Linked DNA regions of Astyanax mexicanus. The protein of the gene in region 2 purifies or fractionates together with the protein of the main gene of each other region. This does not show direct contact. Links are inferred from orthologs where the notes say so. Each region holds a gene or a part of one and is shown on either strand. Other genes may lie near its edges.

What was found.
Region 1: the proteins of mphosph10 (region 2) and imp3 purify together in Homo sapiens (affinity purification with mass spectrometry; 4 studies listed by BioGRID and IntAct, with this or other methods). This does not show direct contact. The link is inferred for Astyanax mexicanus from reciprocal best matches to the Homo sapiens genes MPHOSPH10 and IMP3.
Region 3: the proteins of mphosph10 (region 2) and imp4 purify together in Homo sapiens (affinity purification with mass spectrometry; 3 studies listed by BioGRID and IntAct, with this or other methods). This does not show direct contact. The link is inferred for Astyanax mexicanus from reciprocal best matches to the Homo sapiens genes MPHOSPH10 and IMP4.

The regions. Positions count from the first base shown.
Region 1 is NC_064415.1:56,932,339-56,936,092, reverse strand, and holds the start of imp3 (U3 small nucleolar ribonucleoprotein protein IMP3), read right to left. Parts: upstream 2,581-3,754; 5' UTR 2,449-2,580; coding exon 2,312-2,448; intron 1,695-2,311; coding exon 1,587-1,694; intron 1,473-1,586; coding exon 1,398-1,472; intron 1,203-1,397; coding exon 1,123-1,202; intron 747-1,122; coding exon 695-746; intron 470-694; coding exon 397-469; intron 1-396. UniProt on the Homo sapiens protein: Component of the 60-80S U3 small nucleolar ribonucleoprotein (U3 snoRNP). Required for the early cleavages during pre-18S ribosomal RNA processing. Part of the small subunit (SSU) processome, first precursor of the small eukaryotic ribosomal subunit.
Region 2 is NC_064430.1:30,525,688-30,529,441, reverse strand, and holds the start of mphosph10 (U3 small nucleolar ribonucleoprotein protein MPP10), read right to left. Parts: upstream 2,880-3,754; 5' UTR 2,831-2,879; coding exon 2,757-2,830; intron 1,400-2,756; coding exon 703-1,399; intron 1-702. UniProt on the Homo sapiens protein: Component of the 60-80S U3 small nucleolar ribonucleoprotein (U3 snoRNP). Required for the early cleavages during pre-18S ribosomal RNA processing. Part of the small subunit (SSU) processome, first precursor of the small eukaryotic ribosomal subunit.
Region 3 is NC_064429.1:38,794,547-38,798,300, reverse strand, and holds the start of imp4 (U3 small nucleolar ribonucleoprotein protein IMP4), read right to left. Parts: upstream 3,002-3,754; 5' UTR 2,928-3,001; coding exon 2,925-2,927; intron 1,722-2,924; coding exon 1,613-1,721; intron 1,380-1,612; coding exon 1,296-1,379; intron 502-1,295; coding exon 392-501; intron 215-391; coding exon 82-214; intron 1-81. UniProt on the Homo sapiens protein: Component of the 60-80S U3 small nucleolar ribonucleoprotein (U3 snoRNP). Required for the early cleavages during pre-18S ribosomal RNA processing. Part of the small subunit (SSU) processome, first precursor of the small eukaryotic ribosomal subunit.

The DNA.
Region 1 (3,754 bases), on a different chromosome or scaffold from region 2:
TAACATTAGATTGCAAGCTGGAAACCTTATCATACTAGGTAGCAACGTTAGTGTATTGTGTATTGTTTATTGTACACAACAGCACCCAAAAATATTGCATGTTTAACTTCATTTTCCAGCAGGACTTGTCACACTGCCCACACTGACAAAAGTACTAATCTGATTAATCCCCTGAGAGCGGAAATGGATCTTAAAATCTAATTCAGAACCAATTGACAGAAATCCAGAGTAGGTGACATGAGGCCAGACATTCAAACTATTATAAAAACAGGCAACTTTCAATTGGGAACCGTTTATATTAATTCCAGACTGTTGTGAGAACAGAAACAAGACACACAAACATTTTTCCAGCACAATAACTAGGATAAAGGACAGACATTAGCATAGCATTCATACCTCCTCATTGTAATTCATGACATGCTGTTTGATCTTGGAGGAGTCCACCCAGGTCACAAAATCCTCCATGTTCCTGTGGAGGTAATAAATAAATAATGCAAATAAACCTATGGATAAACAAGATATGTAACAGTTGGGATGCACCAACTTGGGAACTGTAAGGTTTCTGTAGATATACTATACTGACAAAAGTATTCACTGGCCTGCATTGCGTTTGATGATATCACGTGAAAGCTGGAGTTGAATATGACTAAATTAAAAAGAAAAAAAAGAGAAAAAGAATAAAAACAGAACTGACCTTGTAACAAGAAAAGCAGGGTCTGTGACGACCTCTGGCCCAACACGAATATCTGCCATTCAGTGAAGGAACTGTAATAATCATATATATATATATATATATATATATATAAGAATACTAATTAATGATCAGAATTATGTAACCTAGTTGGATTTTATAAGTTAAATATTGATATTTTTAGATTCTAAAAAGCAGAAATCAGGTTCAAATGATATAGATTCAAATTCACGCTTCTAATAACATGATTCTAATTTCATATGACAGGTAAGCCTGTGTTTTGTCCACACTGTGTTCATCCTTAAATCAAAACAAACTGAATTATTAAGAACTGGTGAAAGCGCTTTTTTGGTGCTTCATGGTTTCAATAGGACCATTTCTTCTGGTTCTAACAAACTGAACCAGCTCTTTAAAACAGTAAGTAAGGATACGTCCTTGTTCGATGAACGTGACGGCAGCTTTCAGGTTCTGAGCCATGCGCAGCTTCAGCATAATTGTTGGCAGCCGTCTCCTGCAGGTCAGACATAATAGAGAGAAATCAATCATTACTTTTACACTATTTTCAAGCACAATTCTCTATTATACTTAGAATTAATCTGTAGCATGACACTGAAATGACTTTTGCACCATAAGTAAACCTACTTATACATCATGATCTGTTTTCTCACACACAAACAAACTCATTCACTCTCTCTCACTCACTCACCTACAAAAGCAGGAAGCACTGACAGCATCTGCAAGAGCCAGGTTCTGTTTGGTGGGGATCAATCCGATACAGTAGCTGCAAAGAGAAAAAACTGAATCAGACAACACATCCTTACACATTATTTTACACTATTCCACTGTTCAGAATATCAGCTACAGATGAGGAGGTGAGGAAAGTTCCTAAACGTACAGTTTCTCCAGGAACTGTGAGGTGCTCTGAGCTCGGAAACCGTCCTTTTCATCCAAGTCGCGGATTTTCTGGGCCAGTTCTCTGATGTTGCGACTCAGTTTGTTGTACCTAAAAAAAATAATACATTAACATTATAACATTAATATTTTCTTACCCTTATTCTAGTGTATCTAAAAAAAAATAAATATTATTGTAAAGTTAGTGTAATACACTATTTTAAGAATTTATTTCTTCTTTTTTGTTGATGATTATGGCTTACAGCCAATAAAAAACTCAACAATCAGTGTCTCAGAAAATTATAATAATATTACATAAACGCAATTGGTACTTGTGGTAGTGTCGGCAGTGTGCCAAGTACTGCTGGAAAATGAAATCCGCATCTCCATACTTTGGACCAACACCAGCAGATGACATGTCTCTCCAAATCATCACTGATTGGTGGAAACTTCACACTAGACCTCAAGCAGTCTGGACTGTGTGTCTCTCCATCCACTCTTCCTCCAGACTCTGATCCCTTGATTTACTTTAAATGAAATGTAAAATTTACTGATGAACAGTGATGGTTTGGAGAGACATGTCTGTCATCTGCTGGATCTTGTTTGTTATTTTTCTTTTGGTTCAGTTTTCAGAGAACAGTTAGACAAGGTAAAACAGGCAAACTGAGATTTTAAAAAGATTTTAAAAGAGGAAAAGGCTGAATCTGTATATTCAGTATAAACACTCACTTGGTGTAGTCCTCTCTCTTCTCGATGTGGTATTTTCTCAGGATCTTCACCTCGTGCAGGTTATTATCCACCTCCCAGTTAATAAAGTCTACTTTCCTCAGGAGCTTCTGCTCGTGGAACTTCAGCTTTCGGACCATTTTACCGATTAAATCCGCTAAACTACAGAGAAACAGAGAGAGCTAATCTTAGCGGAGTCTGAGAAACACTACAGTGAGTGAGGAGAAACACATGGCCGCCTGCAGGAGAAACACAGCGGCTCTGAAACAGCGCCCCCTACAGACCGGGAGGAGCATTTAATTTCTTTATTATTCTCTCTCCATTTAGCCCCATTTCCACCTTCTACCGTCCAATTTACTCCTTTTTTAATCTTTCTATCTCCTTTTTCTCTTATTCTTTCTTTCTTTTTTAATTTTGTGTTGTTTCCTTTTTAGCTCACTTTCTTTCTTTCTTTCTTTCTTTGTTTTCCTCTTTAGTTGATCTTTCTGTCTTTTATTTTTTTCTGCATCTCTTCTTTCTTTCTTTCTTTCTTTCTTTCTTTTTTCTTCTTTATTCACATCATTCTCCCTTCTATTTGTCATTTTTAGTACTCTTTTGTCCCCCCAATTTTGTATTATTTTTATCCTCATTTGTTTTTCTATTTCTATGTCCTGTCCCTTTTCTTGTCCCCTTATTTTTTTCTTTCTTTCTTAATTTTTCTCTTATTTTTTTCTTTCTTTCTTAATTTTTCTCTTATTTTTTTCTTTCTTTCTTGTTTTCTTTCTTTATTTCTGTTGCTCTTTTCTTTCTTTCTTTCTTTCTCTTCAGTCCCATCCTTCTCCCTTCTGTCATTTTTCATACTCTTTTTTATTTTTATCTTAATTTTTTTTTTCAGTTTTACTTTTCTCTTTTTTCTTTACTATTTTTTTCTCCTATCCCCTTCCTCTGTTCCTGCTTTTTTATTTTGTATTTCTTTCTGTTTCATTTTTCTATTTTTCTGTTGTATATTTTGTTACTTTTGTACTTTTTCCTGTTTATTTTTCTCTCCTCTTGACTCGTGAGAATTGTGAATTTGCACAGTTGAGGTGTAAATATAATGTAATAACTCTCAGGTTGATACAGAATGGAGACGTTATGAATCATATGTTCAGTTTTGCATACCTGAGTAATTGCTGTAATTTATTGGTTGTTTTGTTGTTCTGAAATGAGCTTCTACTCTGTTCTTATGAAAAGAAAGAAACGTTCAGTCAAACCTGTTTCGTTTTATTTTTTTAAAGCCTCCATACCTTCACATCTGAGCTTTTCATCAAGGAGATTACCCTCACAATGGAGCTGAACTTTCTCCTCTATAGAAACTAGAAGAACTGGACCTGATGGTCCAACTGGCTTCCTGGACCTGCAGCATCCATTACAAAACTCAAAACTACACATTATCCTGTTCTATTTAACGGTTCTTCCAATCAAAGT
Region 2 (3,754 bases):
ATGGTGTGTAAATGAAAGTAATCAGGAAAATGTATTATTTAAAGTGGTATATTTCATTATTTGTTTTATTACAGAGTCTGTGATCCGTGACTTCAAATATATTTCTCCTTCTGGCCCCCAACAAAAAAAGTTTGGACACCCCTGACATATATGATTAGAAAAAGGAATCTGCAAGTGCCTATGTGTTCAGAGTTTTTTTCAAAAATACTTAATGTAAATGTAACATTAATCTATTTGTTGTTACTTTATTTTTTGAATAAGGGTCTGTTTACTATTTAGTGCAGTTTTTTAGAACACAGGGTGGTTGTACTTTATTTGTTTTAGTTATTTAGGATATTAAAATATTTTGCTAGTATATAATATAGTATATATATAGTGGCACATTGTCTTAAAGCTCCTTTGGGAGCCCAGAAGCAGGAAAAAGCATTTTCTATAGTGGTGCTTTAAAATGACAATATTATTGTTTATCACAATAATTTCTGGGACGATATATCATCCTGAAAATGTTATCGTGACAGGCCTAATTGTGTGTAGTTACGTGACTCTACCCCTGACAAAGAAGGTCACTGTGTCCGTCTCTCATTAAAAGAACTTTCCATTTATCATAATTAAAATGAAATGTTTATTTTATTGTGACAGCGCTTTGAGCTCGTATCGCTGAGCTCGGGTTATAATATATATATAAAAACAGCGCTTACTCACCTTTTTCCGACTTTTTGACGTTGTTGGCTCATCAAAGCCCAGTTCTTCATCCTCGTCTGAGGGCAACTCCTGAAAATAATCGATTTCCTCCCCCACACCTTCCTTCCCCTCCCTCTTATCCATATCATCCAGAAACGCCTCCATCTCCGCCAGCTTAAAGAACTGATCATCCACCTCCGACACAGTCCTGGAGGGAGGGAACTTCGCTGTGCTGTTCTTCTTCTGTTTGCTCTGTTTCTCTAATTTATCCACATCAAAATCGATATCAGAGTCCTCATCAGAAAATCCATCTTCCTCCTCATCCTCATCTTCATCATCAGCTGCTGCTGCTGCTTTTGATTTAGGCTTTAGTCTGTTTTCTTTGTTGTTGTCCTCCTCATCATCATCTTCCTCATCATCTTCCAGCTCCTCATCATCACCATTCTCTCCATCTCCTTCATCTTCCTCATCCTCCTCTTCCTCTGTGATGATGGTTAGTGTGTCGTCGGCGACGGCCTGACCCACGGCCTCCTCGAAGTGCTGGATCACGGTGCTGTTCTGAAGCTCCAGCTCCTGCCAGATCTGCTCCTCATCGAAGTTCTCCACCACCAGCTGGTCCAGTGGGCTGCCGGTGCTGCCGGCCTGCGGCTGGGATTTGTGCAGGTCGTACAGGGTCTTAGTGAGGGCGGTGAAGTCTGAGGCCAGAGCATCCTGCAGCCTGTTACAGTCATAAACACAGAGGAGGAACATGAGAGATGCTCACCTGAAGAGCTATACACACATCAGCACTATACACTACACACTATTCAACACACACCAGCACTATACACACACTATACAACATCAACTACACATGAGAAATTTAACAGAACGCGTTATCGGATTCATGTCTCTACTGTCCAGTTAATTAGTTAGATTACTTTATTTAAGCGGAAAAAATAAGCTTTCTCTTTTGCTTTTCTGAAATAAATGTTGCTGACCATCCTAATTGTAATATTTTTTCATACTGAAGTAAATCTGCAAATTAATTTGTGGCTTTGGAGGCAATCTGAAAGAAGTCAGAAGGGCAAAGCAGTTTTTAACAGCCCACTCTGCAATATTTGCAGTGCAGTAAAGAAGTAAGTCTTCAGTATACAGATGTACTTTACAATCTTTATCTGTCAACACATTTTTATTGATATATTAAATATAACTACCCTATAACTGAACCCAGAGGGATTCCTTTAGTGACTGGTAGAAGATCAGAAGCACAGCTTCCAAACAAAATGAAATGTTATACTGCGCAGGCCTATTTATCAGCATTCAAACACTGATGACTGAACAGCTGTACTTCTTTTTTTTATCAGTTTAATTGGATGGACAGAAACAGTGTTTTTCTTGGGTTGTCTGTGAGTCAACATATATCAATACATGTTGTGTATCATGGAAAAAAGTCATTAGATTTTGTGACCTAGCTAATATTGTTGCTATTTTGCACACTCTTACACTAGACACACACACACACACACACACACACACACACTAACACAGTTACACACAGTCACTTACTGTTACACACATACACGCAGTCACACATTTTTACAGTCATACACGCAGTTATACACATTATTGCACACGCACGCGGTTGGACATACGGCTGGACACAGTTACATAGGCACACACACTTACACACGCTGTTAAACACACGCGGTTACGCGGTTACACACACACACACACACACACACACACACACACACACACACACACACACACACACACACACACAGAAACTGTTAAGACAGTTACACACGCACACACTGTTACACACATACTGTTACACACAGTGTTTGACACTCAGTTACACACGCACACACTGTTACACACACTGAATCTCTGAAGAGAAAGGTAGAACTGAACTGCTGCTGTAAAGCTAAAGTTAAAGCAGCCACGCTGGAGTTACTGAGACACGCGAGCTGCAGCACTGAACCCCATCTGCCCCATTTAAACACAACAACCTGATAAATTCCTCTAACAAACAGAACCAGCCCTCCGCGGCCCTGCCTGAGTTTAGAACCGGGTAAATGATCTCCTCTCACCGTAAGAAGCGCTCGGGCAGAGCCGCGCTCCTCTCCAAAACCTCTAAACACGTTTCCAGCGTGCGCGCCGCCATCACTGCTACTGCTCCCACTGAATCAACCGACTCCTCACACACGACTCCTCACCAACCGAATCAGAGGAACCGACTCACGAGTCACCACTCAACCCAACCTTTATTCCAAACATTTATAATAAACAATTTTAAAAATAATTAAATTATCTATTTTTTTTTACAAAAGAATATTCTGAAAGTATTTTTCACATGTTTATAATTGACAGCCATTTTCTGCAAGTTAACAGAGTTTCTTTTGTATTCTTAGTGAAAGTCTGTAACATTATATGTTCAAAATATAATTTAAAAATACAATTATATCTACTTTTACATAGTATACATAAGTATACATGTATCATTTATACACTTCTGCACTGCACTGCCAATCAAATAAGCCTGGATCTATGTTAACTTCTATTATAATATTCATCTTATTTCGAACTTATTGCTTTTATTTTTACACTTTTAGCAGATTAGATCATTTAAAACTTACTTGAAGGAACTTAGAAATAAGTTAAGATAAAAAAAATACTCTAAAAAACTCTAAATCAGACATATTCGCTATTTCTGAATATTTCAGAATATTGTATTATTATTATTTTACAGGATAAGCGATAAACATACAAGATAAAGCCTAAAAATAAAAATAAATTGTTTTAATAATAAACTTAACACTTAAGATGAACTTAAAACAATAAATGACAGTTTAATCATAAATGAGGGGGAAAAAAATCGCTTATTTTGAATCAATAAGCCCGAATCAATGATTCACTGAATCAATAGACGCAGGTCGTTTGCAAGAGTCGGTTCGATTAAAAGAATCAAACTGACCGTCATAGTCCCGGTCCGCGAGACCACGTTCCCTTAGAAACAGGACGGAGGTTCCACGTGATCTTCCAGTTTAATGTTTTTAAAGCTCTATATTTTTTTATATAAAACAAATAC
Region 3 (3,754 bases), on a different chromosome or scaffold from region 2:
GACACGGTTGCCATTATGATCAAAAATATCCTGAATGCAGAAATAACCCCCCCAACCCCTCCGAGTTCACTATGAACTCACCAGGCTGTCCTCGCGTCTCCTGGATGATGACCAGGTCGGTGACGCCGTTGGCTTTGCAGGCGTGCACTAAAGTGTTAACTTCGTGGTTTCCTCTGTTCATGCGTTGGGCCCCTGGAAACATCAGCTTCACTTCCTGAGTAAAAATTTAAACGTTATCTCTGCTGACATGAACACCACGTTAACCACAGACAGGGAGTGGTTTATAAGAGATGTGAGAACAAACATCGTCTCCAGATCAGTGAAACAGACTTATAACAGACGTTTAACAAAGTCTGTAAACTTTTAATCCTTTTATTTATCTTTAACCGACCTTAGCGAACATCTTCAGCCTGGAGCTCGGGTCCCGGGACGTCGTCACCATCACTTTCGGGTCTTCCACTCCGGCCCACTTATACTCATCATCCATATGAGAGCTGACCCCTGATCCCAACAGAACCACAGCAGAGAATCAGTGCACTGCAGGTCTAAACCTTAAACCCGAGCCCTAAACCCAAAGCCTAAACACTAATCCCAAACCCAAAACCAAACCCTAAACCCTAATCCTAAACCTTTAAACCAAACTCTAATCCCTAAACCCAGGAGCCAAACCCTTAAAAAAACTATCCCTAAACCTGAAGCCTAAATCCTAATAACAATAAAAATAATACATTTTATTTAGTAAGTAAGTAAGCTTTATTTATAAAGCACATTTCTAGAGCACCTCATAAAGTGCTTTACAGACAGAAATAAAATACCTAATACATACATATACATATATTTACATACATACATGTACACATATGCACATATACATATATACACATACACAAACATGCATACACATACATATAATAAATAAATAAAATTAAATAAATAAAAGTAATCTAAAACACAAAAGAACAAACCAAAATATCAAGTAAAATAACAAATAAAAGAAGCAAATAATCAAGGTTCATATAATAATCAATTTGTAACACACTTTACATTTAAAGCATATCTCAAAGTGTTACATAACTATAGAAACATCACTATAAAACCTGACAACTTCTATAGAGCATCTTTTTACTCCATAAGAGGATCGAGACAAACATTCTGCTAAAGAGAGTTTTTGGTTCTTAAAGGGTTTTTTCGTCCTATTTTAAATCCCTCACATGAGCAGATATCTATATATATATATATATATAACCATAGTTGCATTATTTATGCAGATGTGATAAATCCATGAACTGAGTTACCTTCTCCACCTTCATCATCAAACTCCAGCAGTTTCTGAAGCTGTAGAGCTTCTTTACGGACCTCAGTGGGTATCAGACGATTTTCTGTTGTAAAAAAATAAATAAAAAATCAAAATTTAAAGCAAGTGACATCTTCACCACGACATCATATTCAGTTTATATTACTATTTATTCTATAAGAAAATTCTCATTTTTATGATGGTGTAGACATGGTTCTCACATCAGAGCCTGTTTACAATCATAGAATCTGAATCCTTACATCATTTTATAAATTAGTCCAGGTTTTGTTTTTATTTTAGAACAGATTTTAGTCTCACCATCTAACGCAGACTTCAGCTTCTGCTTCTTCTCCTCGATGGAGTGCAGTCGCTCCTCCTGGGCCTTCCTGTACAGGTACTCCTTCCTGAGCCGGATCTCCCGCCGAAGCTGCAGCAGAAAATTCCGATCAGAAAACACTGATCATAAACTATAAAGCACTGAGATTATCATCATATACAGTTATTAATTAACCTACTGATATAAATTCATTATTACAATAGAACTGCTGAGATAGCTTTAATTTTACAATAGAAATTCTGAGGTTAAATTCATTAGTATAATAGAAATCCTGAAGTTAAATTTATTATTATAATAGAACTGCTGAGATAAATTTATTACTATAATAGAACTGCTGAGATAAATTCATTATTATAATAGAACTGCTGAGATAGCTTTAATTTTACAATAGAAATTCTGAGGTAAATGTAATGGGCTTTACTGGTTTGTCTGTGTTCAATAAATATTTTAAATTAAAGTTTTGAACTTAAACTGTGTTTTGTCTTAAAACACAGTTTAAAAAGTGGTAAAAAGTGGCATTTTGCTTGGTGCATCTGTAATTTGTATTAATTTCAAATGCATACATTAATAATATAATGTTAACTTACTGTCTTCTCATTTTAATTTTTAGTGTAAATAAGTGACTTTTTCATTTCTTGTGGTAAATCAGTTGTATTTAGATTAATCTTCATAAAAACACCGGAAAAGCTGAAAATACTTCAGAAGTTAGTCTTGAGTTATTGCAAACAAATACTAATATTACTATTTTGAAAAATTAATGTTAACACGTAAAATATGTTTCGAGATAAAAAATCGTTTTAAAATCGTTTTTATTTTACTGTACAAATCTACATTATTTACTGGTTTCCCACTTTAGTTCTTAAATGCAGGTTCTATAAACAGTATTGTATATAAAGTTATCTTTATATAATTTATAAACTATAAACTGAAACCGTTCATTTTAAAGCTGTTTTTCTTTTTTAAATGTCCGGTCCACCTTAAACAGTTCAGCATTTTAAGGCGACGCGTTAAGGTGGACTCGCCTCATTAAAGCTAAACACTATAAACACTATAAACACTATAAACACTATAAACACAATAAACACTATAAACTGTATCTTATATAGAGTTTAAACTCCTGATCGTGTTTTTAATAATCGGTCAGTATTTTATAGATTAGCGGTTCAGAACTAATTACAGTTTTTATACAGAGTTCCTGTTTAATCAACACAGACGGGCTGGATATAAATAACACTATTAAATTAATAACATAAAAATAAACAAATATATTTAATAAAAATAAACAGTTTTTACCATTCTGAAGATTTTTCTCTTCCACACGTGTTTACCACCGACTGACCCAGCTTCCGGCCTGACTCGTTCAAAATAAAAGTCCTATAAACGTAAAGAAAACAACGTTTCAATTATTAACGATAAAACGGTACTATTTAAAAATCTTTATTAACTTAAATTATTTCTCAAAAAAATACAGTATATTATAATATATATTGTATATTAAATGGATCCATTCTTTTACGTGCTTTGCTGCAGTAAAATGTGATGATAAGATTTAATAATGTTTTAGGTTTTAAAACATCAGTAATAATCTGAAAAAAAAAACAGTTTTTTTTATGAACAGAGTGAACAAAGTAAGTTTTCTATCAGATCAAAATAATAGTTTTGTATTTTTTATTTAAATTAAATTCCAGTAAAACTTCATTGCAGTTTTTCGGTTTTACAGTCATTAAAAGGTAAAAATTAAATGTTTAAAAAAATGTTTGCTGAAAAACAATTAAAACAAAATAGCATTATTTCCATATACAAATCCGTTAAATACACTTATTAACAAAGAGATGCTTTATGAATATTTTAGAAAATGGAAGACTGTTGCTTTTAAAATGGCACTGAAAGAAAATTAAATACATTTAACTTACAAAACAAATTATTTATGTAAAATTTTGTTCAGATTCGAGTTTAAATAACAAATATTTGGTAGTAAAATACTGTACTTTATATGTGAGATAAAAATCCTGATCCACACCAAACCAAACCACCTGCAGTAATTTATAACTTATAAATGAAATGATAAAATGAACAGATGTAAATGAGTAGATGAGTAAATGAGTGTAAAAGGCGACCAGCAA